4 linked regions of the Arabidopsis thaliana genome follow. The protein of the gene in region 1 purifies or fractionates together with the protein of each later gene. This does not show direct contact. Each region holds a gene or a part of one and is shown on either strand. Other genes may lie near its edges. The genes, in order: AT5G53480, AT1G32880, IMPA-5 and IMPA-8.

What was found.
Region 2: the proteins of AT5G53480 (region 1) and AT1G32880 fractionate together in Arabidopsis thaliana (co-fractionation; one large-scale study listed by BioGRID). This does not show direct contact.
Region 3: the proteins of AT5G53480 (region 1) and IMPA-5 fractionate together in Arabidopsis thaliana (co-fractionation; one large-scale study listed by BioGRID). This does not show direct contact.
Region 4: the proteins of AT5G53480 (region 1) and IMPA-8 fractionate together in Arabidopsis thaliana (co-fractionation; one large-scale study listed by BioGRID). This does not show direct contact.

The regions. Positions count from the first base shown.
Region 1 is NC_003076.8:21,710,767-21,720,164, forward strand, and holds AT5G53480 (ARM repeat superfamily protein), read left to right. Parts: upstream 1-2,478; 5' UTR 2,479-2,716; intron 2,717-3,241; 5' UTR 3,242-3,249; coding exon 3,250-5,663; intron 5,664-5,744; coding exon 5,745-5,943; 3' UTR 5,944-7,112; downstream 7,113-9,398. Other genes in the region: ACBP1 (acyl-CoA binding protein 1), read left to right, coding at 1-188, 575-677, 800-888, 1,092-1,183, 1,265-1,362, 1,449-1,625. UniProt on the Arabidopsis thaliana protein: Acts as a negative effector of drought tolerance. Involved in the regulation of stomatal closure and in the abscisic acid (ABA)-mediated pathway that lead to drought tolerance.
Region 2 is NC_003070.9:11,911,736-11,917,578, reverse strand, and holds AT1G32880 (ARM repeat superfamily protein), read left to right. Parts: upstream 1-2,843; coding exon 2,844-2,969; intron 2,970-3,127; coding exon 3,128-3,255; intron 3,256-3,353; coding exon 3,354-3,651; downstream 3,652-5,843. Other genes in the region: NAC13 (NAC domain protein 13), read right to left, coding at 3,887-4,296, 4,416-5,423, 5,666-5,843.
Region 3 is NC_003076.8:19,990,111-19,997,844, reverse strand, and holds IMPA-5 (importin alpha), read left to right. Parts: upstream 1-3,172; 5' UTR 3,173-3,328; coding exon 3,329-3,535; intron 3,536-3,661; coding exon 3,662-3,755; intron 3,756-3,856; coding exon 3,857-3,948; intron 3,949-4,020; coding exon 4,021-4,152; intron 4,153-4,233; coding exon 4,234-4,419; intron 4,420-4,488; coding exon 4,489-4,652; intron 4,653-4,738; coding exon 4,739-4,817; intron 4,818-5,037; coding exon 5,038-5,166; intron 5,167-5,270; coding exon 5,271-5,398; intron 5,399-5,480; coding exon 5,481-5,829; 3' UTR 5,830-5,899; downstream 5,900-7,734. Other genes in the region: AT5G49320 (transmembrane protein, putative (DUF1218)), read left to right, coding at 1,631-1,795, 1,981-2,207, 2,381-2,762; AT5G49305 (importin subunit alpha), read left to right, coding at 7,122-7,206, 7,290-7,393, 7,482-7,604, 7,669-7,734. UniProt on the Arabidopsis thaliana protein: Binds to conventional NLS motifs and mediates nuclear protein import across the nuclear envelope.
Region 4 is NC_003076.8:21,117,401-21,124,530, reverse strand, and holds IMPA-8 (importin alpha), read left to right. Parts: upstream 1-3,411; coding exon 3,412-3,429; intron 3,430-3,513; coding exon 3,514-3,613; intron 3,614-3,706; coding exon 3,707-3,789; intron 3,790-3,863; coding exon 3,864-3,986; intron 3,987-4,064; coding exon 4,065-4,241; intron 4,242-4,316; coding exon 4,317-4,480; intron 4,481-4,563; coding exon 4,564-4,642; intron 4,643-4,740; coding exon 4,741-4,869; intron 4,870-4,966; coding exon 4,967-5,094; intron 5,095-5,182; coding exon 5,183-5,507; 3' UTR 5,508-5,585; downstream 5,586-7,130. Other genes in the region: AT5G52020 (Integrase-type DNA-binding superfamily protein), read left to right, coding at 1-339; AT5G52010 (C2H2-like zinc finger protein), read left to right, coding at 1,715-2,905; CBF4 (C-repeat-binding factor 4), read left to right, coding at 6,744-7,130.

The sequences.
Region 1 (9,398 bases):
AGTACAGAACTTGATGAGGCATTTAGTGCTGCTACGGCTTTTGTTGCTGCTGCTGCATCGGATAGGCTTTCGCAGAAAGTTTCTAATGAGTTGCAACTTCAGCTTTATGGATTGTATAAAATTGCTACTGAAGGACCTTGTACTGCTCCTCAACCATCAGCTCTTAAAATGACTGCTCGTGCCAAGTGGTTTGTCTAACACTCTTATTGATTCTCTGATTCAAATGTTTGGGACTGTGAAAGATGATTGCTTGATCATGTTTACTTGTGATGTACTGATGTTTCTTGATCATGGATGTATATTATTTTGATTTCACCAAGTTCGTATCTTTCATTGCTAATGTATGGAAAGGATTGCTTTTGTTGGTGTATTGATTAGTGATCTGATTCAAATCTTATGACTGTGAAGATTGTTACTTAATCATGTTTACTTGTGATGTACTGATTATTCTTCATCCTGGATGTATCTTGCTTTGTGTGAGTACCGAAAGGATTTGCTTTTGTTGTTTTGTTGATTGGTAACTTAGGGATGCATTTTGATCGACTGAGATTTGTTATGATCTTTTTTGTTCTAGGCAAGCATGGCAGAAATTGGGTGCTATGCCTCCTGAGGAAGCGATGGAGAAGTATATCGACCTTGTTACTCAGCTTTACCCAGCTTGGGTTGAAGGTGGCTCGGTTAGTTGTCTTCTTACCTGCTTCTGTTATTCCCATTTCTTTGGACTGTTTATGGATGGTCTGTTTTCGTTCTTAAATCTGTCTTTATTTCTTGGCTTGTTTGCTTCGTTGCGGACTATTAGAAACGAAGAAATCGGAGTGGTGAGGCTGCAGGCCCCATGGGACCGGTTTTTAGCTCATTGGTGTACGAAGAGGAATCTGACAATGAGTTGTAAGGTTCCTAAGCAATTAGTTACAGATTCATCTATGAACTTTTGGTTTTCTTTTCTCAGTTTCTCTATATGACTAGCTGACTAGATCAGAGAAGGAATGTATATATCATAATACTCACCTTAGGTAGATCAAAGAATCATGTGTTAGTTTAAATCATAGTAGAAGCTCTGTTCATTCTTGCGTTCTTACTCCATGTTCCAGGAAGATTGACGCCATACACGCCTTTGCTAGAGAAGGAGAAGTCGAGAATCTATTGAAATGCATAGAAAATGGCATACCCGTAAATGCAAGAGGTTAGTAGTCTTGTATCATTTTCACAGAATGTTCGGATCTGGTTTGGAAACTTAACAGTTTCTCCATCTTGGAAATGTCAGATAGTGAAGGTCGAACACCACTGCATTGGGCTATAGACCGTGGCCATCTTAACGTTGCTGAAGCTCTGGTTGATAAGAACGCAGATGTGAATGCTAAAGTAAATAAATAACCAAAACCCCCTAAACTAATTCTTTCTCTCAATTACAGACTTTTATGTTTTTGTCGCTGACAAACTTTGTGCAGGACAATGAAGGCCAAACCTCTCTACACTATGCTGTTGTGTGCGAAAGAGAAGCACTCGCCGAGTTTCTGGTGAAGCAGAAAGCTGATACAACCATTAAAGACGAAGACGGAAACTCGCCTCTTGATCTCTGTGAATCAGAATGGTCTTGGATGCGAGAGAAGAAGGATTCCAATTAGTGTTTTTTAAGTCTTTAAAATTGTGTGTCAAAGCTAGATGCTTGTGTTTTTCTTACATTTCCTCTGAGCCTCTTTGCTTCCTCTTAAGCTTATGTTTTAACATACAACAACACAAGTTACATATGATATAGTAGCTCTAGTTTTTATTGGTTACTATATTGAACCCAGAGAGATCATCATCATCAATCATCATAACTCAATAATAGTTTTTTTTTTGTTAGTATAATGTTTCTCTCTTTCGTTCGTGACCCTTTCATGTTTTTTCAGCCATCTGAATCATTATTATCATACCTGTAAAACAATTTTGTTGATTACTTGTAAAATTTATAAGTATTTTAAATATGATACAAATTGTACCTTCGGAATAAGAAAAGAAAAAAAATCTTCTTCTTCGCATCTCGCTGTAAAACAATCCGGACCGTTGATTAATTAACGATGAGAATATATAAGGTGGGGTTCAGATAAGGACCACCCAACACGCGATGTACGACATAATCACTCCAGATTATATCAATTCTTTAATCAGAAATATATTTTTAGTGTGCAAAAATCATAAAGAAAAATATTTTCCCTTTTTATATATATATTGGGTAATTCAGATTTTTTTCTATTTATGTTTTTATTTGAAAAAAATAAGATACACTGAACAAACAATTATGATTGGAAACAAATTTTCATATTTAGAAGATTTATACAACTTTTTTTTAATTGGGTAATTTTAAAAGATATTTTCCTATATATAGTTTTTATAAAAATATTAGGATACACTGAACAAAACCTAAATATACAATTGAGTACAAATATATATAAGTTTGGAAAACAATTTCAAAATTAATAGATTTACATAATTTGTGTTCAAAACAGTTTTTTTATTTGTTTATATAAATATTTGGTTAAAAGTTTAATAATAAAATTTAAAGTCCATCTTCACATCCGATTCTTCTCTTCTCTTCTCTCTCTCTCTTCCCTTTTTCGCTGGAACTGATTTTTTTCTTCTCTCTCTCTCTCTCTCTTCCTTCTGGGCTTCTAGGGTTTGTCCTCTCCAGTCCCCGATTTCCGCTTTATCCGATCGGCCGCCGCCGAGATTCTAGGTTACCCTTCTTCACTTCATCTATTCAACTTTCTCCCTAAGATCCATCTTCAGATTCATCACTTCCCAATTCGCTTTTTTTTTTTCCTGATTCGATCTCGATTCGTTCAATCATCCATTTCCAACTTTAGTTTCGATTTGTTCACTGTTTTATGATTTGAACTCGTTCGTAATCTGAGATTTGCTTTTCGATTTTTTAGTTAGATTCATTTGTTCTATTAACTTGTTGATTTGGTCATCTTAGTAACTAGTTTGATTTCGTGTTTTATATTCGATTTCGTGCTCGGATCTGTTGTTCTGGCTGTTATAGTTGAATCTGACAGTGTTTTTAAGCGTCAATGGCTCGTGCTTTGATCTCTTATTGCTATTACATGGTTTTTTCGATTCATAGTGATTTAGTAGTCTTTCACCTTTATGGCTTTTTGGATCGTTGACGAGTTTCTTCATGTTGTTGGCTTAATTTACTGATTCTGTCTTACTTCTTCTTTATTTTCAGTTTTGCTGAATCTGTTTGTTTCTGTTGCAGATAAACCTATGGCAATGGAGGTTACGCAGTTGCTCATTAATGCTCAGTCGATTGATGGAACTGTACGTAAGCACGCGGAAGAAAGTCTTAAGCAGTTTCAGGAGCAAAACCTTGCGGGTTTCTTGTTGTCGCTTGCTGGAGAGCTTGCGAATGATGAGAAGCCAGTAGATAGCAGGAAATTAGCTGGTTTAGTCCTTAAAAATGCTCTTGATGCTAAGGAACAACACAGGAAGTATGAGCTTGTTCAGAGATGGTTGGCTCTAGACATGTCAACAAAGTCGCAGATCAGAGCTTTCTTGTTGAAGACACTGTCGGCACCTGTGCCTGATGTTCGTTCGACTGCATCTCAGGTCATTGCTAAGGTTGCAGGTATTGAGTTACCACAGAAGCAGTGGCCTGAGCTCATAGTGTCTCTTCTCTCAAATATTCACCAGTTACCTGCTCATGTCAAGCAAGCCACTTTGGAGACTCTTGGATACCTATGTGAAGAAGTGTCACCTGATGTTGTTGAACAGGAGCATGTAAATAAGATACTCACAGCTGTTGTTCAGGGTATGAATGCTGCTGAAGGTAATACTGATGTTAGACTTGCTGCAACCCGTGCTTTATACATGGCTCTCGGATTCGCCCAAGCAAATTTCAACAACGACATGGAGCGTGATTATATCATGAGAGTTGTGTGTGAAGCAACCCTGTCCCCTGAGGTGAAAATTAGGCAGGCAGCTTTTGAGTGTTTGGTATCTATCGCTTCCACATACTATGAGAAGTTGGCGCATTACATGCAAGATATATTCAACATCACAGCTAAGGCTGTAAGAGAAGATGACGAGTCTGTTGCTCTACAGGCAATTGAGTTCTGGAGTTCTATTTGTGACGAAGAGATTGACATCTTAGAAGAATATGGTGGTGAGTTCGCTGGGGATTCTGATGTTCCATGCTTTTATTTTACTAAGCAGGCTCTCCCTGGTCTTGTGCCTCTACTGCTGGAGACTCTTCTGAAGCAAGAAGAAGATCAAGATTTGGATGAAGGGGCTTGGAATATTGCAATGGCAGGTGGGACATGCCTCGGTTTGGTTGCTAGGGCAGTTGGAGATGACATTGTTCCACATGTCATGCCGTTTATTGAAGAGAAAATATCAAAGCCTGATTGGAGAGAGCGAGAAGCTGCAACTTATGCTTTTGGTTCCATTTTGGAAGGCCCTTCTGCCGATAAGTTGATGGCAATTGTTAACGCAGCGTTAACATTTATGCTCAATGCTCTAACAAATGACCCAAGCAACCATGTGAAAGACACAACCGCATGGACCCTTGGTCGGATATTTGAGTTCCTTCATGGTTCAACAATCGAGACACCTATTATTAATCAGGCAAACTGCCAGCAGATAATCACAGTACTCATCCAGAGCATGAATGATGCGCCTAATGTTGCCGAGAAGGCTTGTGGGGCTCTGTACTTCCTTGCTCAAGGCTATGAGGATATCGGTCCCAGTTCTCCGTTAACACCCTTCTTCCAGGAAATTATTAAGTCACTTTTAGCTGTTGCACACAGAGAGGATGCAACTGAATCACGCTTGCGGACTGCAGCATATGAGGCATTGAATGAAGTTGTCAGGTGTTCAACTGATGAAACGTCTACCATGGTTCTGCAATTAGTACCAGTGATAATGATGGAGCTTCACAATACTTTGGAAGGGGAAAAGCTTTCATTGGATGAGAGGGAGAAACAAAACGAGTTGCAGGGACTTCTATGTGGATGCTTGCAGGTCATCATACAGAAATTAGGATCTGAACCAACCAAGTCTAAGTTCATGGAGTATGCAGACCAAATGATGGGACTTTTCCTGAGGGTGTTTGGTTGTAGAAGTGCAACTGCACATGAGGAAGCCATGCTTGCCATTGGTGCTCTTGCTTATGCAGCAGGTCCCAATTTTGCCAAATACATGCCTGAGTTTTATAAGTACTTGGAGATGGGTCTTCAAAACTTTGAAGAATACCAAGTGTGTGCTGTTACTGTTGGTGTTGTTGGGGATGTCTGCAGAGCATTGGAGGACAAGATTTTACCTTATTGCGATGGGATTATGACACAGCTTCTGAAAGATTTGTCGAGCAACCAATTGCACCGATCAGTGAAGCCACCGATATTCTCCTGTTTTGGTGACATAGCACTTGCTATCGGTGAGGATTTTGATAAGTACTGGAGGTATTCAATGCCGATGCTTCAGAGTGCCGCAGAGTTATCTGCTCACTCGGCTGGAGCTGATGATGAAATGACGGAGTACACAAACTCATTGAGAAACGGAATCCTTGAGGCTTATTCAGGCATATTTCAAGGTTTCAAGAACTCCGCCAAAACCCAGCTCCTGATTCCTTTCGCACCCCATATCCTCCAGTTTTTGGACAGTATATACATGGAGAAAGACATGTAAGTTTGGTTACGACCCAACTGAATTTCTATTATGTCATAGCAGTTGTTTAATTTTGTGGTAAAATTGCCTTGGGACAGGGACGAGGTGGTGATGAAGACAGCGATTGGGGTCTTAGGAGATTTAGCAGATACACTAGGGAGTCATGTGGGTGGTTTGATACAACAGTCAGTGTCAAGTAAAGAGTTCTTAAACGAATGTTTGTCTTCTGAAGACCACACAATTAAAGAAGCAGCCGAATGGGCGAAGCATGCCATAACCCGTGCCATATCTGTTTGAAGGCTCTTCTTTTGCCTATAAGAAAGAAAATTCCTTTTGCTTTTTAGTAAAGTCTGCATGCATCTCTGGGTGGGTTGAGTCGGTCGGGGGGAGGGGTAGAGCTGCAACATCCGAGTCACATCAGCATCATCAGCATCAGTTTCATTTGCATCATCAGCATAACTGGGGTCAGTCAGGGAATCGTTGAGTCGTGGATGTGGGGAATGATGAGTTTTGGGGTAAATAATGAAACTGGAAGAGTCACGGGTGAAAGTTTCCCGGGTAAGGTTAAATCCCCGGGAGTAGAAAGAGGAGGAAGTGAGTCATGGTCGTTTTCTGGTGGGTTTTGGGACAAAGTTATACCAAAAAAAAAAAGGTTTCATGGAACATCTCATAATACATTCTTGTTTTTTCTTTTCTCTCATATGTTCTTCAACCCCTTGAGGAGGGAGAGGTCTCAGGTTTTTATCAAGTGGGGGCATTATTAGAGGACAATCCCTTGATTTTTTCTTTTGTTTTCTTTTATTATTTGGTTAGTTGCAGTCTTTGCATCATCATTTTGTCTTTTGGGGGGGTTTGTATGTTTGATTAAAAGCATTATTCACATTTTTATTTTTATATAAAGAAGTTTCACATGTCTGTCTATCTTCTCTTTGCTATGATGCAGTTTAGGGGGTTTTGCATATATACTTGTGTTTTGTTTGCAATCAAGTTTCAAATGTCACATACAGGAACATTTTTATTATATGGTGTCATGTCTTAGGGTCTTAAAGAGGTCCACATCTATTCATTTTACTATGGAACTGTTTACAATCGTTTAGAATCCATTATTTGATTTGGCTCGAACTATATGGGAAAGGGCACATGTTAATAGGAGAAAACGTCCTGCCTTACTCTGCTTCCAAAGAGTCAAGTTAAGAGATCGAAGAACATTTCACATTCACGCTGTTTATGGAAACCTCAATTTTGATTGTATGTGTTGCTTTTTTTTGGTTTTCCAAACGCCAAATGCAACTGATACCGAACCTATATTTTGAAAAATGTTTTCATGTGTATTTGAAACATTCTAGACCATTCAAGTTATGGTTTAAATTAGTTTCTCTCGGTTCTATGTATTAGTCCCAAACCATGTTTCTGACGTCTCGAGAATTTTTCTCTTGAACTAAATATATAATGTCATAATTCATTCGACATATCTTTTTCGAATTGATGATTTAGGCGAGAGAAACGTTGGTTCTGTTGGTATTTTTTTTTTTTTCATTGTGATGACATACCCATTTAAATCTCACTCAAATGGACAATAAAACACATAAAAGATAGATGATGGCTAAACATCCAAGAGAAATAGGACACGCCACTCTGAATTGAAATTGGGAGTTGAAAAAGAATGGTGGTAATACGAAGTGGGCCTTTTTTATTGTCAAAGGACTTGTCCAAGCACACCCACATATATCACATACACTGATACACACACAAAAAAAAAAAACATTTTTGTCGTCCGCGACGATTTTTTTCATATTCAAATAATTTCATTACGGCGTTAATACTTTATTTTGCGACTTTAAACTTTACCTTTAGTCTTTAAATGCAATACTGAAATAGCACCGAAAGATATATGAGCGTCGTCAGCTGAAACTGCCAAAAAAAGGAGAAAATCTTACGATCCAAGTTATTAGTCAAAAGAAACATAATTATTGATTAAAGCATGAACTTCTTGCGACAAAAAATAACTCCAATTTTTCTTTCAATAGCTATTATCTAACACATTTTACCTTAAGGTTACGGATCAATACATTTTTAAAAATAATAATGATTAGTAAATACTTTCTTAGAAGATGAACGCCATTAAAGAAAACTCTGAAAAAAAAAAAAAAACGGATGTTTTTTAAGAAAATTAATTCGTTTAGTAGGACAACGAAAACCTAATATATAAGCTAATTTAATGGATAAAAACTAGAACTTTGGTTCAAACTACATTTATAGATCTAACTATGCGTTCTCATTGCCTGATGGCTTTCATTTTTTGATGTTGTTCCTTCTAATGTTGATACGCTCTTAAGCGATGATGTTATTGGGTATGTGCGCCTAAGGCAAGTAAGTTTGTAATTTTTCTTATAATTTTTAGTCTCCCGTCTTCTACAGAAAAAAAAACTACACTTATGAGATGAATTGTATATTAAAAATTTAAAACGAAGGAAATATTTAAGAAAAGTAGTGAAATTATTAGTTGTGGGTGTCTCGTGATTTATTATTCGCGTTGTAAACTATGTTAGTATTGAAATTGTGTTTTTGTTCTCTTTTTTTTTTAACTAATAGACGTACGTTTTTTTTTTGTCAAAGACTAATAGATGTACGTTTCGTCGTCTTTCTGTGTAGTTGACATTGGACAACAGAAGTTAAGACTTAAGACACGTACGTTGTTGCCCAATAAAACATTGCTAATTTAGTGGCTCATTGGTTTCTTATTCATCACTCCTTTTAAACGCAACATATAATTGCCGACACATTGATTATTTCCCTACTCACGAACTTTCCCTTTTTTTTTTTTTTTTTTGTGAAGTCATGCATAGTCTTCGGACAGAAGAGCTGCACGTACATGTGTTAACTGTTAAGTGAATAATGTTTTAGATAGTACAACGATTCTACTTAAGCAGTTTAGCTGGTTTAATGTACGTGTAGTCTATATTAGTTTTTATCATATTCAGATGCTGAAAAAGAATCTGTTTCATTTTATTTTTTATAGAAAACTGCAGATATTTACTTGGAGGTTGTGAGAAAACATTTTAAGATGGAAATAATTAACCAGTTAAGAAAGTTGAAGTGCGAAACCATTTTTTTATATGAAAGGATCTATAGAGGGGATTTATAAAGTCTTCTAATCTAAAATATATGGGTTATGGTGCAATACACACACACATATATATAAGTATAACCATTCATATGGTGACTTTTTGGGGGTAAAAGTTCTTTAGTTTTTGGGATTTAGTAGAATTATGGATTTTAGGTCAAAACACATAATGTTATGAGGAACGATGTTTATTAATTGTAAAATAAGATTTTGGGGGATAGTGGTCTCTCACTATAATAATGGGTCACTTAAAAAGATGCACTTCTCTGATACATTTTGCAGGCCACTCGCTATGTCTGTCTCAATCCTAGTTGACTTCTTATAAAGTTGTGAAGGCCGAAATGGAAGGATTAGTTCCACTATTTCTCTTTATTTGTATCAAATTATTTAGTGTTTGGTACCACGGATTTTAAAATCTGCCCTAACCATCTTTTGACTTCCTAATTACTTACGTTATTCCCCTGTCTAGGAGTTGCCTACCATGTTGGTTTATGTGATCGAAGTTTACTGAACTTAGTCTATCTATTTTGATCCCTGTAAAATTTACATTGACCGCAAGGAAAATGTTTTGATTCCACATTTAAACTTTAATTTACTAGTACTGATCTTTGTTCTAATATGTCAACTG
Region 2 (5,843 bases), on another chromosome or scaffold:
CGAAAACCTTTCAAGTTCGTTAATGTCCTTGCAGAATTACATGAGTTCCAGCCAATGATAGATAACTATTGGAAGAATACTGAGTCGTTATTCTTGTCTACATCCACTCTTTTCCGGTTCAACAAGAAGCTAAAGGGTCTTAAGCCTGCGTTAAAGTTGCTCGCAAAAGACAGAATTGGTAACCTAGTGAAGAAATCAAAAGAAGCATATGAAGTTTTGTGTAAGAAACAAGAGGCAAACTTATCAAAACCCTTCATTGCAGAATATGGAAGCAGAGAATGCGGCTTATAACCGATGGGAGTTTGTGTCAGATCTAGAAGAAAAATATCTAAAACAAAAATCAAAGTTGCATTGGATGAAAGTGGGTGATAAGAACAACAAGACTTTTCATCGAGTTGTGGTAGCTAGGGAGACAAATGAATCAGATCAAGGAAATTCAATGTGCAGATGGTAGCATTGTAAAGGGTGATGAGATAAAAGTGGAGGCTGAGAGATTCTTTAGAGAATTTCTGCATTTTATCCCAGAGGACTATGCAGGCTGCGATGTTAGTGAGCTTCAGAACTTGCTACCTTTTCGTTGTTCTGAATCTGATCAAGAGCTGCTTACTCGTGAGGTGTCTGCGGAGGAGATACAGAGGGTTCTGTTTTCAATGCCGAAGGACAAATCTCCGGGACCAGATGGTTATACCACAGAGTTCTATAAGGCAACATGGGCTACCATAGGACTTGAATTCATTTTGGCAGTTCAATCTTTTTTTCTAAAAGGTTTCCTTCCAAAAGGAATAAACTCAACTATTTTAGCTCTGATTCCAAAGAAGCTAGAAGCTAAGGAAATGAAGGATTATAGACCTATTTCATGCTGCAACGTAATCTATAAGGTAATTTCTAAGATCATTGCTAACAGATTGAAAGTGCTTCTGCCAGAGTTTGTTGCGGGAAATCAGTCGGCGTTTGTAAAAGACAGATTACTCATCGAAAATCTGTTACTTGCTACGGAACTAGTCAAGGACTATTATAAAGATTAAGTCTCTACCCGTTGTGCTATTAAAATAGATATCTCGAAGGCGTTTGACTCGGTCCAATTGGCTTTTCTGCTGAATGTTTTATTGGCTATGAATTTTCCTGCGGTTTTTATACATTGGTTAAAACTGTGTATTACTACGGCCTCTTTTTCAGTCCAAGTAAATGGCGATCTCGCTGGTTATTTCCAAAGTGCAAGGGGTTTACGTCAGGGTTGCTCTCTCTCGCCATATCTGTTTGTCATAAGCATGGATGTCCTCTCAAAGATGTTGGATAAGGCTGCCGGAGCTCACAAGTTTGGTTTCCATCCTCATTGTCAACGTTTAAAGCTCACTCATCTAAGTTTTGCAGATGATTTGATGGTTCTAACGGATGGTAAGGTTAGATCCATATAGGGTATAGTGAAGGTTTTTGATGAGTTTTATAAGTACTCTGGGTTAAAAATAAGTATGGAGAAGTCGACAATGTATATGGCAGGAGTATCACCTTTAGTGAAAGCAGAGATTGCAGCTCTTTTCCCTTTTGATATAGGTCAATTGCCAGTTCGATACTTAGGTTTGCCTCTTGTTACTAAGAGACTCATGGCTGAGGATTATGATCCTCTTCTTGAGCAGATTAGGAAACGCATCGCGTCGTGGACTTCACGCTACCTCTCATATGCAGGTAGCTCAACTTGATTCAATCTATCCTCTGGAGTATTTGCAATTTCTGGCTAGGCGCTTTTCGTTTACCGAGACAGTGTATCCGAGAGATTGACAAGATTTGCTCCGCTTACCTATGGTCGGGTTTAGAACTGAGTTCAAAGAAGGCAAAGATATCGTGGGAAAAAGTTTGTAAGCCGAAAATAGAGGGGGGTTTGGGTTTGCGAAGCTTGACAAAAGCTAATGATGTTTGTTGTTTAAAGTTGGTCTGGCGAATCATTTCTAATAGCAAGTCTTTATGGGTTCAATGGGTCACCACATACCTTCTTAGGAGGAAGCATTTTTGGACATTGAAGCAGAATACAAATGCAGGCTCTTGGATTTGGAGAAAAATACTAAAGTACAGAGACAAGGCGAAATAATGTGTACAATGCATCATTCTCTACCAAAGAAACGTGGCACCATATCAGAGCTCCTTCTCCCACAGTCCCCTGGTACAACGGGGGTTGGTTCAATCACGCCACACCAAAGTTTTCGTTTTGTACTTGGCTCGCGGTCCAAGATAGGCTCTCAACAGGGGAGCATATGGTTAAATGGAACAGAGGAGAATCGGGTCTCTGTGTGTTTTGTACTAACACTATGGAAACTCGTGATCATTTGTTTTTCTCCTGCAACTATGTCTCGACAATTTGGGGTGACGTAGCTAAGAAGCTATGGAAGACCAGATTCACAAAGGAATGGCCACAAATTCTGGCCTATGTTTCAGACAAGTCATTACAGCGAGTCGATGGTTTCTTAATCCGGTATGTCTTTCAAGCTACAATACACACAGTTTGGAGAGAGAGGAATGGGCGTCGTCATGGAGAAACACCGAACACCACGTCACACTTGATAACTTGGATAGATAAGCAGGTGATCGAAGATATGACAAGGGCAACGTACAGCTCACTCTAAACATTCTCTAAACACCTTTAATTTCTAACTATTTTTTTTCTCAGCTTTTCTCATTTTGCTAAACGTTGCACGAGTTGTAAAAACGTTTTGTTTTTTTTTGAATATAATTTAACATTTTTTCAAAAAAAAAAGAAGAGTAAATCAAATCTCTCTTTTACTCTTTTTCTTGATCGATTTGAAAGATTCTTCATTCACTCGAATGTTTCTTATATTACATGTGCAGAAGATATGCGTAATGTTTCTTATATTACATGTGCAGAAGATATGCGTGGTCCTATCGAAACAGTGATACGATCTGGAGCTGTACATCGTCTCATTCAGTTTCTTCTCGATGAAAGTTTCCCTAAGCTTCAAGTTAGAAGAAAAATTTCCCCCATCAAGTTGATGTTTTTATTGATGATCAGTGTAATCTTTGATTCTGATATATATACAATGATTCAGGTGCACAACATAAAACAATTTGTCTATTTGCTATCTCACTAAACTAAACTGTTTTCCCCTGGTGATAACAGTCAGTAATCGATGCAAATTTGATTCCAACCTTGGTCAAACTGACTCAGAATGCTGAATTTGACATGAAGAAAGAATCTGTATGCGCAATTTCAAATGCGACCTTACTTGGTTCTCATGATCAAATCAAGTACGTCCCTGTCTTATTTCTTTCTTTTTGCACTTTCAACTTAACATGCTTATAGATGATCATCAAAGTCACAATCTCCATTTATTGGTGTGATTCAGATACATGGTGGAGCAGAGCTGCATCAAACCTTTATGTGATATCCTGTTTTGTCCAGATGTAAAAACCATCTTAAAGTGTCTGGATGGAATGGAAAACACATTGAAGGTTGGAGAGGCTGAAAAGAACGCAGGAGACGACGTGAGCTGGTATACTCGACTGATCGAAGCGGAAGGGCTAGATAAGATTTTGAACCTGCAAAGACACGAAAACATCGAGATCTACGACAAGGCTTTGAAGATTCTGCAGACTTACTGGCTTGAAGAGGATGATGAGGATATACAACAACCTCCAAGTTAATAATCTAGTTAAGTAACATCATTTGTTCAAATATCCTAAAAGATAAGAAAATTCTTTTGCTTATTTCTATTGGTACTTTTTTAACAATACCAGAGAAAACTTCCAAGCATAAACTGTGATACTAAACAGCTTCTGAATCTAATAATCCAAGAGAATAATTACAATGACTTGACTCTCTAATGGTTCACACAAAACCAAGCCTTTATGTCTCTTAACCTCTTGGATTTTTCGGTTCTCACCATAACAAAGGCCTCCCTGAACCTCCCATTGTTCCTATGATCACCCAAAACAAAGCACATAAAGCCCCAATGATCGATAAGCAAAAGAAACCTTTGTTCTTCTTCTTCTTCTTATCGTTGTTTCCTCCAGACTTGTTCCTCTTCACTGCTGAGTCACTATCCATAACAACAACATTATTACCTGTGCTTTTAGAAGTAAACCTGAAACGACCACCACTGGTTGACATTCTAACAAGGTTCAGCTTCACAAATGGATTCTCTGATGCATATGCTGGCTTTGCAGGAATGGATTCCAGGAAAGTCCATACACTAGAAGCAAACTTACTAGACTCGTCTTTTGACGGGTCATCTTCATTAGTTGTACTTATACCAGAAGGAACAGGGTTTAGGAATTCAGATGAATCACCTGTCAAGGGAATATGATTAGGATAAGAAGCCAGTCGCTTTCCTCACAATTAGATAGAATATTTAGTATGCGAGTGAAAAGAGGTATCTACAGGAAAATCTGTTAGTGCTTTCAAGTACCTGTACCAGGCGCCTCACCAAACCGGGTAACGGTAAGTCCGTCATTGTTTAGCTCCTGCACCCACGATGATCCATTGTTTATCTGTCTGGTATAGCTGTTACGGAGTGGCCAGTTACTAGCTTGGTTCTTCCCTGATTGCTGCTGGAACTGGTTATTATTGGCCTGGTAAGTCATTAAAGAAGTATTCACCTGAAGACTTTGTGCAAACCCATTTTTCAAATCACCACTAACAAAATCTAACTGAGGATTTGTCACTCCCAAATCAAGGAAATATGAATCAGCACCAACGAAATCATCATCATTCAGGAGACCAGAACCATCCTCGTTCCAGTTATTCTCCATGACTTCCACAGAAGTTGGTTCAGGTTCAGGTTCCATAAGATCATTGATTTCCAAATACATATCTTCCTCCAGGTTCTCCAGATTATACGTGTCTACATGAGAGTTCAGTCCAGACACCCCATTCTGCTGCAATGTTGGACCAGACTGATCTCTAACCTGACTCATCAGCTCTTCAATATCATTATCATCCAATTCAGATTGGTTAAGCCCTTTCCCCCATAAACTATTATCAACACTAGCCGAAACAACGAGCTGATTAGCAGGCTCATCAACATCATCATCATCATCTTCAGCCCATTCTTCTTCAATAAAAGGAGCTCCATATTGCTCACCATTCTTAGGACCAGACCCACTTTTCTTATAAATCTTGTAAAGAACATAAGCATCCTTAACATCTTCACCACCACACCTCTTGAGCTCCTCTTTGTGCAATGTATACTCATGCATCACCCAATTAGTCCGTTCGCCATTAGGTGCCCTGCCTCTATGGAAAACAAGAGTCTTCTTCTCTCCAACGGGTCTCGAATCACAATGAATGACTCTATCCTTCCCTGTTGCTTTCCAATAGCCACGTTCAGTAGCTCTACTTGACCTACTTCCATGTTTCCTATCCCTTAAGCTGAAAAAGAACCATTGACGATCTCTAGTCTTATACAACGCTTTCTCTACACAAAAAAAAAGAGTCCATTTTTAAAGTCAGAAGCTAAAAAAAAAAAAACCTTTAGAGTGTAAATCAATCAACCATACATACATATGTAACAATCATGCTTGTTCAAATTGAGCAATCTATGAATGAAACAGATAAAAATCGAAACTTGAAAACAGAGCAAAACATTCCAATTTTGAGGTAAACGAAAGCAAATCAAATGAATTAAAGAGTAAGGAGAAGATTTGAAATGAAGGGTACCAGGTAATTCCTCAGGATCAAACTTATAGACATCAGTCTCGCCGATTGCTTCGACTCTGAGTTTTTTCCGACGGATCTTTCTTTTGAGATAATAGACGACAAGTTCTTCGTCCGTCGGATGAAACCTAAAACCTGGAGCTAAACCTCCGTTCTCAACCGACAAGTCCATCACTTTTTT
Region 3 (7,734 bases), 1.7 Mb from region 1:
TAAATATGAATAAATAGGAACAAAAATAGACAGAATGAAATATATAAAGATAAACCTATTTTATAGATTCACTTTGATACTTGCGTGATGGATCCGAGAGATTTTTTTTTTTTTTCTTTTTTCTTTTTTTTTTCTGTCATCCTCGAGAATTGTCTCTAAGAAAAAAAATATATATAGATATTCGGACCAAAGAACTTCAATAGCACCATGGACGATCCAACGTTATTGAAGGCTCTATTCATGTTATAACGTTTCCCCTCTTTTTAATGTTATTGAAACTTTGATTAAAAAAAAAGTTATTGAAACTCATATATCATAAATAAATCATAAACAACCAAAAAACATATATCATAACTATAAAAAATTATCTAAATAAAATACTACTTTAATAATCTGGTAGGAGTTAAAAGTTCAAAATAAAAAAAACTAACTAATGCAAATCTATTGGGGGAGATCAACAGTTTTTACTCTATTTAATTTTTTTTTATATATATCAATTTTGTTTTAAAAAATCAAAATTTCAATGTCCATACAAATTTTGGATCCTAGTTCATGGCTTTTTTTTTTTTTTTTTTTTTTTTTTTGTCAAAGATCCTAATCTATATATGCCTTAAGGTGCTTATACCATGGACTTTGAGTATAAGTAAAATTTTAAACCCAATATTTTCACATCATAATTTCGAGCTTTGGCGATGGTAACCTCAACTTTCATAACTCATATAGCACAATTTAGGTACATTAAATTCAAAATTCTTACGACGAGTGACGACATCACAAACTTTGTCATGAAAATACCACATGAGTGATGAGTACTTAATACACAACCATGTTCTTTTCAAAACCGATGCGACCAGTGTCGGCAACAATAAAAATATATACTATCACAACGGCAAACACAACATCGGCGAGACACTAACATTAAGGTGATGACAACTTGACAAGTAGTGTTGATCCAATTCGAAGCTAAAGATATCAGTGACACGAGCTCGTTTTTTCTGTCACTATATGTCTTTGCTTTTGAAATGGAGTATCAGAAACCGCTTCTCTATTGGTTATTTATGGTGGGGTGTGGAAGGCTTTTGGCTTCCTATTAAAAATTACACGCCCTCACATGATTATGCTAATAAATAGTATATAGAAATAAGACAACACTCAGTCACTCACGACTCACGAACAAAGTTCATCACCTTATCTTTTTATCTTTATCTTTATTTACTTTCAAGATAATAAAAGGTACGATGTTCTTTGTATGAACACAAAATAAAAAGAAGAAAAGAATGTTCTTATACACGTGTAATATATGAAAAGAATCATCCAACTAACTCCATTAACGAACTCTCGTCACATTATATATTTTACACATCATCGTTTAATAGACACTATACGAAAACAGTATAGTATTTCTAAAAAGACATCCGAAAGAGAACCTGCGAATCTTGGCCTTTAAGCAACCTTTGGCTGAAGCAATTCTTCTATCCTCCTCTCCTTTTTCATTTATTTATCAAATATACTCCAGTTTATTCTTTTCTTCCCACTTTCAATGCCTCTCATATATGTAAAACAAATCAAAGTATAATAACTCTCAAAACATGTAACTTCGATTCCTATCTATTAGAAATTGACGAGAGACATGTCGAGAACAAGAGTGCGAGCTGTGACCCATCAAGATCTTGTTCCAAACCCTAAAACCACAGATCTCAGCAGCAAAACCGGTATTTTCATCGCTGTTTTGACAATAATCTTTGGCCTCTCCTGCTTTGTTCTCTGCCTCTATGCCGAAGCCACAAGATCTCAGGTACATTACTATACAGGGATGTATATAAACTTTCTCTCATATGTTTTCATCATTTATATTTTCAAAATAAATCAGAAATCTATATTGATTCATGTTTTATATTAATTACCATATCGTTCGATTATAATAGTATTTAGTATAAGTTATATCATTGCCATTAATATGTTGTCAATCATTTGCAATAGGCGACATGGGGAAGCAAAACATGCGTGTATAATGGTAGCGGGAAAACGCCGTTGTTGTGTGGTGCGATTGCGTTTGTGGGACTAGCGGTGGCGATGGTGGGCTTCCACATGTACTTACTTATCGCAGTCACCACATCGCCGTCTCTGGTTCTGGTTGAGTGGGATCCTGACTCTGTTCCTGCGAAGAGGCTCACTTTTCAAGCTGCCTTCTTCTTCGTCTCAACATGGTACGTAGACTTATTCTAACGCAACGAATTAATGTCATGTAGTTATAAAAAATAAAATAAAAATAAAAAAATCCTAACTATAAGCAATCGTGAAATGACATATTTATGTTACTGACCATAGCTTAAGTTAATGATAATTTTGTGATTATATTATTCTTTTTTGTTCCTATAAGGGTTTGCTTTGGTGTTGGAGAGGTTCTACTGTTGGTTGCACTTAGTGTGGAATCAGGACATCTAAAGAACTGGTCTAAACCAAAACCTAGTTGTCTAGTAATCCGGCAAGGCTTGTTTTCAGCGGCCGGAGTGTTCTCACTTATAACCGTCTTTCTAGCCACGGGACTTTACCTAACCGCTCTTCAAGCACATCGAATCTCTAAGGATCTTGAAAACACACATAGAGAGATCATCGAGGCATCAGTTCTTTATGCATCTCCTCCAAGATCGCCTACAAATCGGATGGCTACGGTTGCTCGAGAAGGTCTTGCTACTGTTAGAGATGAATCGACGTCTTTGGAATATCTTGTTTCTTTAAAGCAACTTGCACATATAGTATAGTGTACAATGTATAGTAGTTAACATAATCATATGAGAAAAAACAATGTTTTTACTTCTTACATAAGCAATTCAAAATCACAAACCAAAACCTACTTTTTCCAATCAATACATGAACTTTACCGGAAAAGTAGGTTTTCCTTCGCCGGAGAAAACACTACACATCTAACGAGTAAACTCTGCAAATATGGTTCTTTTTATCGTCGGTAACGAGTAACTAAACCAACTTCACGGTTTAGTTCGGTTTAGATTCAAGTATTTTAGCTTATAATAATTATTGACTAATTATTTCAATTTGGAGCTCTTAATAATATGATTGTAAACTTTATCTTAAATTTAGATTATCAATGATTTATGATTCAATCTACTGTATAAATACGGTTAACAATTAAAAACGATAATTAGAAAACCCTCCCGCTTCTTCAAATTGAAACTGTTGTCGCTTCTTCTTCATCTTCACCACTCTTGCATTCTCTTCTTCACTTTGCAAATCCCATTCAGTTCAAATTTCTAGGGTTTCGCTTCGATTTTGTGAATTGATTTAGAGAGGTCGAAGAATCGAGAAAGCTATGTCCTTGCGACCGAGCACGAAGACAGAGATCCGTCGAATCCGTTACAAAGTCTCTGTAGATGCGGAAGAAGGACGCAGAAGAAGAGAAGACTTTTTAGTCGAGATTCGCAAGAGTAAACGCAACGAAAATTTGATGAAGAAACGTCGTGTAAAAGTTTTGCCTCCTGATTACAAGTTGATTTCCAACGACCCCTTTGAGAGTTTGGTAAAAGTTTGATCTTTGGTTTTGGATTAGTGAAACCTAGGTTTTGAAAGATACGACCTTTATCATTATACTCGAATGCTTTCGAATTGGGTAATTAAATTAGATCCTCTCTGGTGATGGTTGTAGTTGGAGATAGCGAATATGATCACTGGGGTTTTCTCGGATGATCCTTCATTGCAGCTTGAGTACACAACTCGGTTCAGGGTGGTTCTATCATTCGGTAAAACTCTTTACTTTTCTTTGATCTTGAGTTGAAAAAGATACGAACTTATATTTACTTGAATGGTTTCTTAAAGTCTTGTGGTTTTATATATTGTTCAGATAGAAGTCCACCTACTGATAATGTGATAAAATCTGGAGTTGTGCCACGTTTTGTAGAGTTTCTTAAGAAGGATGATAACCCTAAGCTTCAGGTTAGACTTAAAGTTCCCATCTTTGATGATTAGTGTAATCTTTGGTTCTGAATTCTTTGATCTTTTTTATAGTTTGAGGCTGCTTGGGCTTTAACAAACATTGCTTCTGGCGCATCTGAGCATACCAAGGTAGTGATTGATCACGGTGTTGTGCCACTCTTTGTTCAGCTTCTTGCTTCCCCTGATGATGATGTCCGTGAGCAGGTATAGTGCTTCTTCTGAGTATGAATGGTTAAATATGTGAGTTCAAATTTTGAAGAGTTTGATGTTACACTTAATTTGCAGGCTATATGGGGACTGGGTAATGTTGCTGGTGATTCAATACAGTGCCGTGACTTTGTTCTTAACTCTGGGGCATTTATTCCACTGTTGCATCAGCTGAATAACCATGCTACATTGTCGATACTTAGAAATGCGACTTGGACTTTATCAAACTTCTTCCGTGGCAAGCCTTCACCACCCTTTGACCTGGTATTCTTACTTCTCTATTTCCTCAGTTTTATAGGTGCAATACTTAAACTTATGAAACATGATTTATAGGTGAAACATGTTCTCCCTGTACTTAAAAGACTTGTTTATTCGGATGATGAACAAGTCTTGATAGATGCTTGCTGGGCGCTTTCGAATCTGTCTGATGCTTCAAATGAAAATATCCAAAGTGTGATCGAGGCGGGTGTTGTCCCAAGACTAGTTGAACTTCTCCAGTTAGTACTTCTCTCCAAATATTAAAAAATTTAACCGTTTGATACATGTTTGGATAATGAAGGCTCGCCATTTTTTTCTTTTGCAGACACGCTTCTCCAGTTGTACTTGTTCCTGCACTTCGTTGCATTGGGAATATAGTTTCTGGAAATAGTCAGCAGACTCACGTATGTAATTCATATTCCTTTGATGGAGCCTTCAAGAACACGTCTCTTGTACACCGTGTGAATTTATTGTTTTTCAAAGCAATAGCACTATCAAAAGCTTAATTTGTAATCCTGTATCTTGGATGATTATATCCTGGAGAACACTTCATTTATATGTTGCTTGAGTACTGTGTTGAGATTAGATTTTGTAACCAAATAACTCTTTGAACTTATTTTTCAGTGTGTGATCAATTGTGGTGTTTTACCCGTTCTTGCTGACCTGCTTACTCAAAACCATATGAGAGGCATAAGGAGGGAAGCTTGCTGGACGATTTCAAACATCACTGCCGGTTTAGAAGAACAAATTCAGGTGAGCATGAGTTTGTGATTGTTACTGTTGCAGAACTTGAACAATTTACGTTGCTATCACTAAATATTTTCTATTTGTCTTTCTTGCATTGATGATGATAACAGTCGGTTATTGATGCAAATTTGATTCCATCGTTGGTCAATCTGGCACAACATGCTGAATTTGACATAAAGAAAGAAGCTATATGGGCAATTTCAAATGCTTCCGTGGGTGGTTCTCCTAATCAAATCAAGTACATCCCTGTCTTCTTTCTTTATCACTTTTTTCATGCTTATTGATCATCTATATTCACAATATCCATTGGTGTGTATCAGATACTTGGTGGAGCAGAATTGCATAAAAGCTTTATGTGACATCCTGGTTTGTCCAGATCTAAGAATCATCTTAGTGTCTCTAGGTGGACTGGAAATGATTTTGATTGCTGGAGAGGTGGACAAGAACCTAAGAGACGTGAACTGTTACTCTCAAATGATTGAAGATGCAGAAGGGCTAGAAAAGATTGAGAACTTGCAGCACCATGGCAACAATGAGATCTACGAGAAGGCTGTGAAGATTCTGCAAACATACGGGCTTGTAGAGGAAGATGGAAGGTTAGTTGAAGAGGAAGATGAAGGTGGTGATGGTTGTTCTCATCCGGAATTCCAGTTTGATTTTTCTCGTTAAGATCCCACATAATCTGATATTAGATTTTGATGTAAAGAAATAGCTGTCATATTGAACCAAAAGCATGCACATAATATGATGGTCCTAAAAGACAAAACAATGTGGATTCCAACAGGAAGTGGAACTTGGTTCTCTAACAGCTACTCATCATATTGGAATCAAGTTCCACTTCCTGTTAGAGAACCAAGTTCCACTTCCTGTTGGAATCCACATTGTTTTGTCTTTTAGGAAAAAATTTTACTCAAATTTACCGAACTAACGGTCAAAATTAAGAAAGGGTTAAATTATTTGTTTACCGAACTAACGGTCAAACTTTAAAGATGGATTCAGTTTTTTTGACGCGGGACGGATTTGTTTTTTTTTTTTTCTTTCGAAATGGATGGGCTCTTATGCTATGGGCTTTGGTATAACGTAAAAGGCCCATATATTCCGAAACCACTTTGTGTTTCGTTTCCATGGAGAAATTGAATCATCGAATTTGGTCGCCACTTTGAGAATTTAGATGAATTCGATAACAAGCTCAAGTAAGAAGGTGCAGAGATGCTTTATTATTTCTTCGCTCGTTGTTAACTCTTCTTCATTCTCGTCTCTGCTATTTTTTCTTAAGCTTCGATCAAAAACCCTAAACAATTCATCTGGATTGAAAATAGAGAATGCTAGACCACAGTGAGAAGATAAAATGATCTGATTCTGATTCGGGTGATCGAAGATGAACTGTTGGAAATGATGATGATCTGCTTCTGTGTTTGTTTCAGATCTTCTTGGTCAATTCAGAAACCATGAAAGCAAGAGCTCAAGTTATGATCGAACAGAGAAACCACAAGAAGAATTGTGCTGATCGTGGTCTTCGTCATGGTGGTGCTAAGGTGATTAGACATATAAACCCTAATTTCACTCCGATTTGGGGGGTAATTCGAGATTGGCAATGATCCGATGATCCTAACCAACACGCCTAACATGTTGAAATTTGGGTTTTATTAAACCGGATTTAAACCCAAAACCAAACTGAATCAATTTGGTTGAACTGAACCGGTTTCAGTCGAAATTAAATCAAACCAAACAAGCCGGTTCTGATAACGATATTGTCGTAGTAAATTCATCTGTTATTTTCGCTCCATTCTTGTTTGCATTCTTGCACTGAATTGCAAAATTTCTTTGCCTCTTTCACATTTCAGCTCAGATTTCTCTTCAAGTTTTGCAAATTTCTCTGGATAGGTCAAAGAAGAGAGAAAACCCACGTTGCTTAAGACCCAAGCTTCCTCTAAACGATCTCACACAAAGTTTCAGCAGCTATGAGTTTAGCCAATGGCCTTTATTCAAAAGATCCTTTGATACAGCTTGATTCAGCTATCAAGATCAACAGGATTCTATCAGATGGTAAATAAAACTTCCTCTGTTTCGATCTGAAAGATTTCATCTTTTAACATTTCTTTAAGTTTTGTGCTCTTATATCTGTCCAGGAATGCAAAGAAACTTGCCTCTTGGTACAAAAGATCTAATACGATCTGGAATTGTTGCTCGTTTCGTTTTCCTTCTTCACAATGAAGAATTCCCTAAGCTTCAAGTTAGAAGAAAAAAAAGAACCCATCAAATTGTTTTTTACGATGATCAGTGTAATCTTTGATTGTGATATATTCAATGGTCTTTTCTAGTTTGAAGCAGCTCGCGGTCTAGCAATCATTGCTGCTTTTAAACCGGATGTGGTAGTTGATCACAAGGTTGTTCCAATCTTAGTCACGCTTCTTGCTTCTTCGACAGATAATGTCCGTGGACAGGTAAAGATTGTACCTATGTAGTAGATAAGTATGAATGATATGAGTTTTGACATTATTCTTGCAGGCTATATTGGCACTGGGTAATGTTGCTTATCATCCAATACACCGTGACTATGTTCTTCAATGTGGG
Region 4 (7,130 bases), 590 kb from region 1:
GGTTTAGCTTTGACTTACGTGGCTCCGGTTTCAAACTCTGCTGCGGATATAAGAGCGGCTGCTAGTAGAGCAGCGGAGATGAAGCAACCGGATCAGGGTGGGGATGAGAAGGTATTGGAACCGGTTCAACCCGGCAAAGAGGAAGAATTAGAAGAAGTGTCGTGTAACTCGTGTTCGTTGGAGTTTATGGATGAGGAAGCGATGTTGAATATGCCGACTTTGTTGACGGAGATGGCTGAAGGGATGTTGATGAGTCCACCGAGAATGATGATACATCCGACGATGGAAGATGATTCGCCGGAGAATCATGAAGGAGATAATCTTTGGAGTTATAAATGAATCCATTGAAGCTGCTCTCTTTTTTATTGTTTTCCGGTCGAATGAGATTTTCCCCCTTTTTTTTTTTCTTTTTGGGTCGCTGTTATGGAAAGTCAAATAGGTTATTAATATGATATATTAATATTTTTGAAACATAATGAGTTTGAATTTGAATTTTTCCATTTTTATATAAATATGGTTTATATGAGGGAAAAATAGATACATATCGAAGATATAAGAATTGTTTTTCTGCTTTATTTTTGGTCAACTGATTATGGTGCTTCTAGAAAAAGAACAATCTTTTTAAGAACAAATATAAGAAGTATCTAGAAGCAAAATAATTTGTTTGTGGAAAGGCCTCCAATTTTATATAACTTAAAATCTGAAGATACAACACAGTCTAATGGTTTGTGTTTTCTGACCCCAAAAAAAACAACAGCTTCTCATGGGAAAAAATGGTAGGAAACTTTTTTTTTTTGTCAACGGCAAACTTAAATTTTAGAAAGATAAACTACGATATAATAACTTCCAAGAGAAGATTTTTTGGAACTTAACCATCAGACCACACACACACATCTTTATCATCCTATGAATATCCAACGAATACTACTACATAGAGAAGAATGAACATGTTACATTTATATCATGTTTGACTAGAAACAAAACAACATAGATCATTTTTCTTGTTAACCTTTGTATAGGTTTTCAATGGCTTCCGCTTCTCTCTGATTCTTTTTTACCATATATACTACTAGATCTACTGTCTTAGGATTCTCTAACCTTTAGGAGTTCAAAATTTATCTCATGAGCTTGAAAGATGTCAATTACTTCTCCAAACTCGACGTTATATGTGTCAAGTACTACATTCATGTCATGACAACCTTTTGTGCATAAAGATACCTCAAAAGCTTTTTTACCAGTTTCGTGTCCTTATATTTTTTTTTGCATACCTCACATTTTATATGGTTTTAATCACTCATCTTTTTATATATTCTCACCCATCCTTATAATTTCAAATTGAAATACCATCATGTCCAATATATTCTCACCCATCCTTATGCATTGTGTCTCATGTGTCTTTAGCATATTTCATATCCCTGGATCAACTTGAGTTAGTGAAACAGTTAGAAAGTAAAAAACAAAGGTAAAGTCTCTCTCGTCAAGACCCTCCGAGTGTACAAGAGGCTCTCAAACAACAAAAGCAAAAGGATAAACTTTTGTTAGCTCAGACTATCCACATAGCCGTCGTCTTCCTCGCCGGACATGCTAGAAGATAACAATCCACACCCAAACTTACCCAGAGAGACAATCTCTGATTCACGTCCACTACAATTACCGAATCTCTCCGAAGCCACCGATCACCTACGCTAGTTTCAGTGGCAATTCGAAGCTTCCAATGAGTTTGTTCTGTAATTCAATCGAAACCCTTTATCCAAAACCATTCCTTTCACACAAATCTCACTTCTTTACCTTCTCCAATTCCAAATTCCAAAACCCTAAATTCACAAGCTTCCCACTTCGTCACCAATGGCGGATCGAATCATGTCTGAAATCAGCATCTTCATCAGAAATCGATATGGTAAGAAACAAAGAAGGTATCTTTGCACCAAAGGAGAAGAAAGTTGTAGTCTTATGGGACTTAGACAACAAACCACCACGAGGTCCACCATACGAAGCCGCAACAGCTCTCCGTAAAGTCGCTGAGAAACTCGGCCGAGTCGTCGAAATCTCCGCTTACGCAAATCGTCATGCTTTTATCCATTTACCTCATTGGGTCGTCGAAGAGAGACGAGAAAGGAGGAACCTTGATTTCATGGAGAGGAAAGGAGAAGTGACTCCAATTGATCCGTACATTTGTGGTGTTTGTGGTCGCAAGTGTAAAACCAATCTTGATTTGAAGAAACATTTCAAGCAGCTTCATGAGAGGGAGAGACAGAAGAAAGTTAATAGGATGAGATCTTTGAAAGGTAAGAAACGTCAGAAGTTTAAGGAGCGTTATGTTTCAGGGAATGAGAAGTATAATGAGGCTGCGAGGAGTTTGTTGACTCCTAAAGTTGGATATGGTTTAGAGGCTGAGCTACGTCGAGCAGGGGTTTATGTTAAGACGGTTGAGGATAAGCCTCAGGCTGCGGATTGGGCGGTTAAGAGACAGATACAACATTCAATGACTAGAGGGATTGATTGGTTGGTTTTGGTGTCGGATGATAAGGATTTTTCTGATATGTTGAGGAAAGCTAGAGAGGCTGATCTTGGGACTTTGGTTGTTAGTGATATGGATAGAGCATTGGGAAGGCATGCTGATTTGTGGGTGCCTTGGAGTGGTGTTGAGAAGGGAGAGATTGGTGAGAAGGATTTGATTCCGGGGAAGAGACCAAGGTTTGAGGAGGATGAGGTGGGATTTGGTGGTAATGATGAGTTGTTTTCGTTGTCGTATGATGAGGATGAGAAGGCGGAGATGACGGTGGAGAGTGATGGGTTTGGGAGGTTTAATGTATCGGCGTTTTCGGAAGATGAATGGGTGGAGGATGAAGGAGACTTTGTGTTGAGTGATAGTAGTGATGATGATAGTGATGATGAGCTTTTCTGATTCATGGTGAATTGAGTTGCATTTCTAAGTGTTGTTAATTGGTTTACGAATAGAGTTCATAGGAGCTTTGGTCGATGTAATTGAAATCAAATGTAAAACCATTCTTACATAAGCCAAGATTTTGTGCATTCATGTGGTCAAAGGCTTTGAGAATTCAAGTTCTTACATAAACCAAGATTTTGTGGTATTGTGGTTTGTCGAATTGAAATTTTGGGTTGGAGTAAACCGGATTCAAATCAAATTTTTATTTTGATCGGTTTAGAGTAGACGGTTAAGTAGCGACTGGATTTTTTGATCAGACGGTTAAAATAAAATCAAGAAAGAAACGATAACTGAAAAACCCGTTTTTTTACGCTTCGTTAAAATTCTGCTTCACCATTTTTGTTTGCATTCTTGCTTGATTGCAAAATCTTTGCCTCTCTCACATTTCAAGTTGAGATTTCTAGGGTTTAGTCTTTAAGTTTTCTAAATTGCTTTGGAGAGGTCGAAAAGAAGAGAGAAAAGCCATGGCTTGGAAAACAGAGGTCCGTTTAAAACTATCTCACAAGTAATCACTCTCTGGTTGATTTTGTGTTGGACTAGTGAGGTTTTTAGGGTTTGGATTGTAGGTGAACGAAGTTTCAGATGATATAATCGATGGTCTTTGGTCAGATGATCCTCCATTACAACTTGAATCCGTTACCAAGATCAGACGTATTACATCACAGAGTAAAAACTTCCTCTGTTTTTTACTTTCTTTACTTTTTCTTGATCTCGGTTTGAAAGATTCGTCTTTTATCATTTACTCTAATATCTTTCCAGGAGATATATCTTGTGTGATACGATCTGGAGTTGTACCGCGTCTCGTTCAGTTGCTTAAAAATCAAGTTTTCCCCAAGCTTCAAGTTAGTTGATATTTTATGATGATGATCAGTGTAACCTTTGATTACGATATATTCAGTGATCTTTGTTTTTATAGTATGAGGTAGCTTGGGCTCTAACAAACATTGCTGTTGACAATCCGGGCGTGGTAGTTAATAACAACGCTGTTCCAGTATTAATTCAGCTTATTGCTTCTCCTAAAGATTATGTTCGTGAGCAGGTAAGTATTTTACTACGTGTAGATATGAGAATACTTGTCACAGACTCACAGATATGAGTTTTGACATTATTCTTGCAGGCTATATGGACACTGAGTAATGTTGCTGGTCATTCGATACATTACCGTGACTTTGTTCTTAACTCTGGGGTATTGATGCCACTGTTGCGTCTTCTGTATAAGGATACTACACTCAGAATTGCTACTTGGGCTTTGCGTAACTTGTGTCGTGGCAAGCCTCACCCGGCTTTCGATCAGGTCTTCTTACTTCTCTCTCTGTCTCTGTTTCCTCTGTTTTGTATACTTTTTAACATATGAAGCATGATTCAACAGGTGAAACCTGCTCTTCCTGCGCTTGAAATACTTCTTCATTCACATGATGAAGATGTCTTGAAAAATGCTTGCATGGCACTATGTCATCTGTCTGAGGGTTCAGAAGATGGAATCCAAAGTGTGATTGAGGCTGGTTTTGTCCCAAAACTAGTTCAAATTCTCCAGTTAGTACTTCTCAGAATATGTATTTAACCCTTTTGTGACATGTTTGGATAAGGAAAGGCTGACAGTTTTTTTTCTTTTGCAGACTCCCTTCTCCAGTGGTGCTTGTTCCTGCACTTCTTACCATTGGGGCTATGACTGCTGGAAATCATCAGCAGACACAGGTATGTATTTCATATTCAACTTACGTTGTCCACCTTTTGGATTTTGTAACCAAACAACAAAATGCTTTGTTATACACCTCTTTGAACTTATTCTTCAGTGTGTGATCAATAGTGGTGCTTTACCCATTATTTCCAACATGCTTACTCGAAACCACGAGAACAAAATAAAGAAGTGTGCTTGCTGGGTGATTTCAAACATCACTGCAGGGACTAAAGAACAAATTCAGGTGAGAAACTTTTGTTGCTATTATCCCCAATGAAAATTTACCATTTTTGTCTTTTGCTATCACTAATTTGTTTTTCTTTTTCCCCTGGTGATTACAGTCAGTTATTGATGCAAATTTGATTCCAATCTTGGTCAATCTTGCTCAAGATACTGACTTCTACATGAAGAAAGAAGCTGTATGGGCAATTTCAAATATGGCCTTAAATGGTTCTCATGATCAAATCAAGTAACGTCCCTGTCTTGTTTCTTTTTTCAACTTTAATGTACTTATTATAGATCATCAAGTCTCACAATTCTCCATTGGTGTGATTCAGATACATGGCGGAGCAGAGTTGCATAAAACAATTATGTGATATCCTAGTATATTCAGATGAAAGAACCACCATCTTAAAGTGTCTGGATGGATTGGAAAACATGTTGAAGGCCGGAGAGGCTGAAAAGAACAGTGAAGACGTGAACCCTTATTGTCTACTGATTGAAGATGCGGAAGGGCTAGAAAAGATTTCGAAGCTGCAAATGAACAAAAACGATGATATCTACGAGAAGGCTTATAAGATTCTGGTGACGAATTGGTTTGAAGAGGATGATGAGAACAACAACAACAACGTCCGATGTGATGATGTGGACTTTCAGGTGTGAGAGAACCAAAGTTCCAGTTCCTTATATGGAAGATCCCAACACAATTATTTGTTATAGTGAAAAAAAAACATCTTACATGGGACCAAAGGCTTTGCACCTTTGTTGTCTCAGGGCTTTACTTGGTCTTTAATTGAATGTACAAAGTTGATGTAAAAGCTTTGGCTCCATCGTTCATGGAGTCTAGTACATTGTTTTGGGTTTTAAAAGTTTTCTGTGTTAAAGCTCGTCGTCTAATTGATGTTGTGTTTGGTTTTAGTTGAAAGGTTTAGACGTTTAGTAAAAAAGTTACTCAAATTCTTGAAATCTCCTTGGCCTTGCTGATTATAAAATCAAATATTCATTTATAAAATTATGCGAAAGGGTCTAATTATTTTTGAAACCGAATCGAATGAAGACAACTCCATTTTGATTGATTTTTTTTTTGTTGTATTAAAGAATAAAAAACTCGACTGGTTCAACAAGACTGGATTGTCTTTAAACTACTGGTTCAATGTATTTTGGGTACATAATGAAAAAAATACACAATCCGCCTTGGCCACGTATCCATCTTTGGCTTAGTTGATGATGATAATACTTTTGTTTTTTGGTAAGGCTGATGATGATAATAGTTAGAAGAAGTTCATAGAATAATCCAATGGATTTCCAATAATAAAACACAGAAATAAATATAATCCAAACAATTGCCAAAAATAATGAATAAGAAAAGGGACCCACACCAAAAGCTAAAAGCGCGTGGGTCAGATTACAAAAAGCGAAACCCCAAACCGTGGCTAGACAGCGGACGAACCCGTCCCTTCAAACGTGGCTCACCTTTCGAACCACAGAGAGCAGTTTACACTCCAACTGTCAAAAACGTGTTCCCATGACGTCATCCTCAACGTATCTTTATCACTTTTTAAAACTAAAGACTGTTTTGTCTTTTTCTAAATCGTCCCCTTTCTCCGAACACCATACTTAAATTCAATAAAATAATAAATATCAAAACTGAACCATCGAATCGGAACCAGCCACAGTACACAATACACTTAGACGAAGTAAAGTGATTCAGAAGGACACGTGTAAGTCACATACCGTGGGACACTTGTCGTTACCAGATCCTCCGTGTTTCTCACTTTTCTTATAAAATAAAAACACAACACTTCTTCACTTTCTGTAATAAAAATATCTCCAAAAGTTCCAACACCTGAAAACATAAAAAGATAGAAAGAGAAATAAAACATCTTATCCAAAGAAAAAATGAATCCATTTTACTCTACATTCCCAGACTCGTTTCTCTCAATCTCCGATCATAGATCTCCGGTTTCAGACAGTAGTGAGTGTTCACCAAAGTTAGCTTCAAGTTGTCCAAAGAAACGAGCTGGGAGGAAGAAGTTTCGTGAGACACGTCATCCGATTTACAGAGGAGTTCGTCAGAGGAATTCTGGTAAATGGGTTTGTGAAGTTAGAGAGCCTAATAAGAAATCTAGGATTTGGTTAGGTACTTTTCCGACGGTTGAAATGGCTGCTCGTGCTCATGATGTTGCTGCTTTAGCTCTTCGTGGTCGCTCTGCTTGTCTCAATTTCGCTGATTCTGCTTGGCGGCTTCGTATTCCTGAGACTACTTGTCCTAAGGAGATTCAGAAA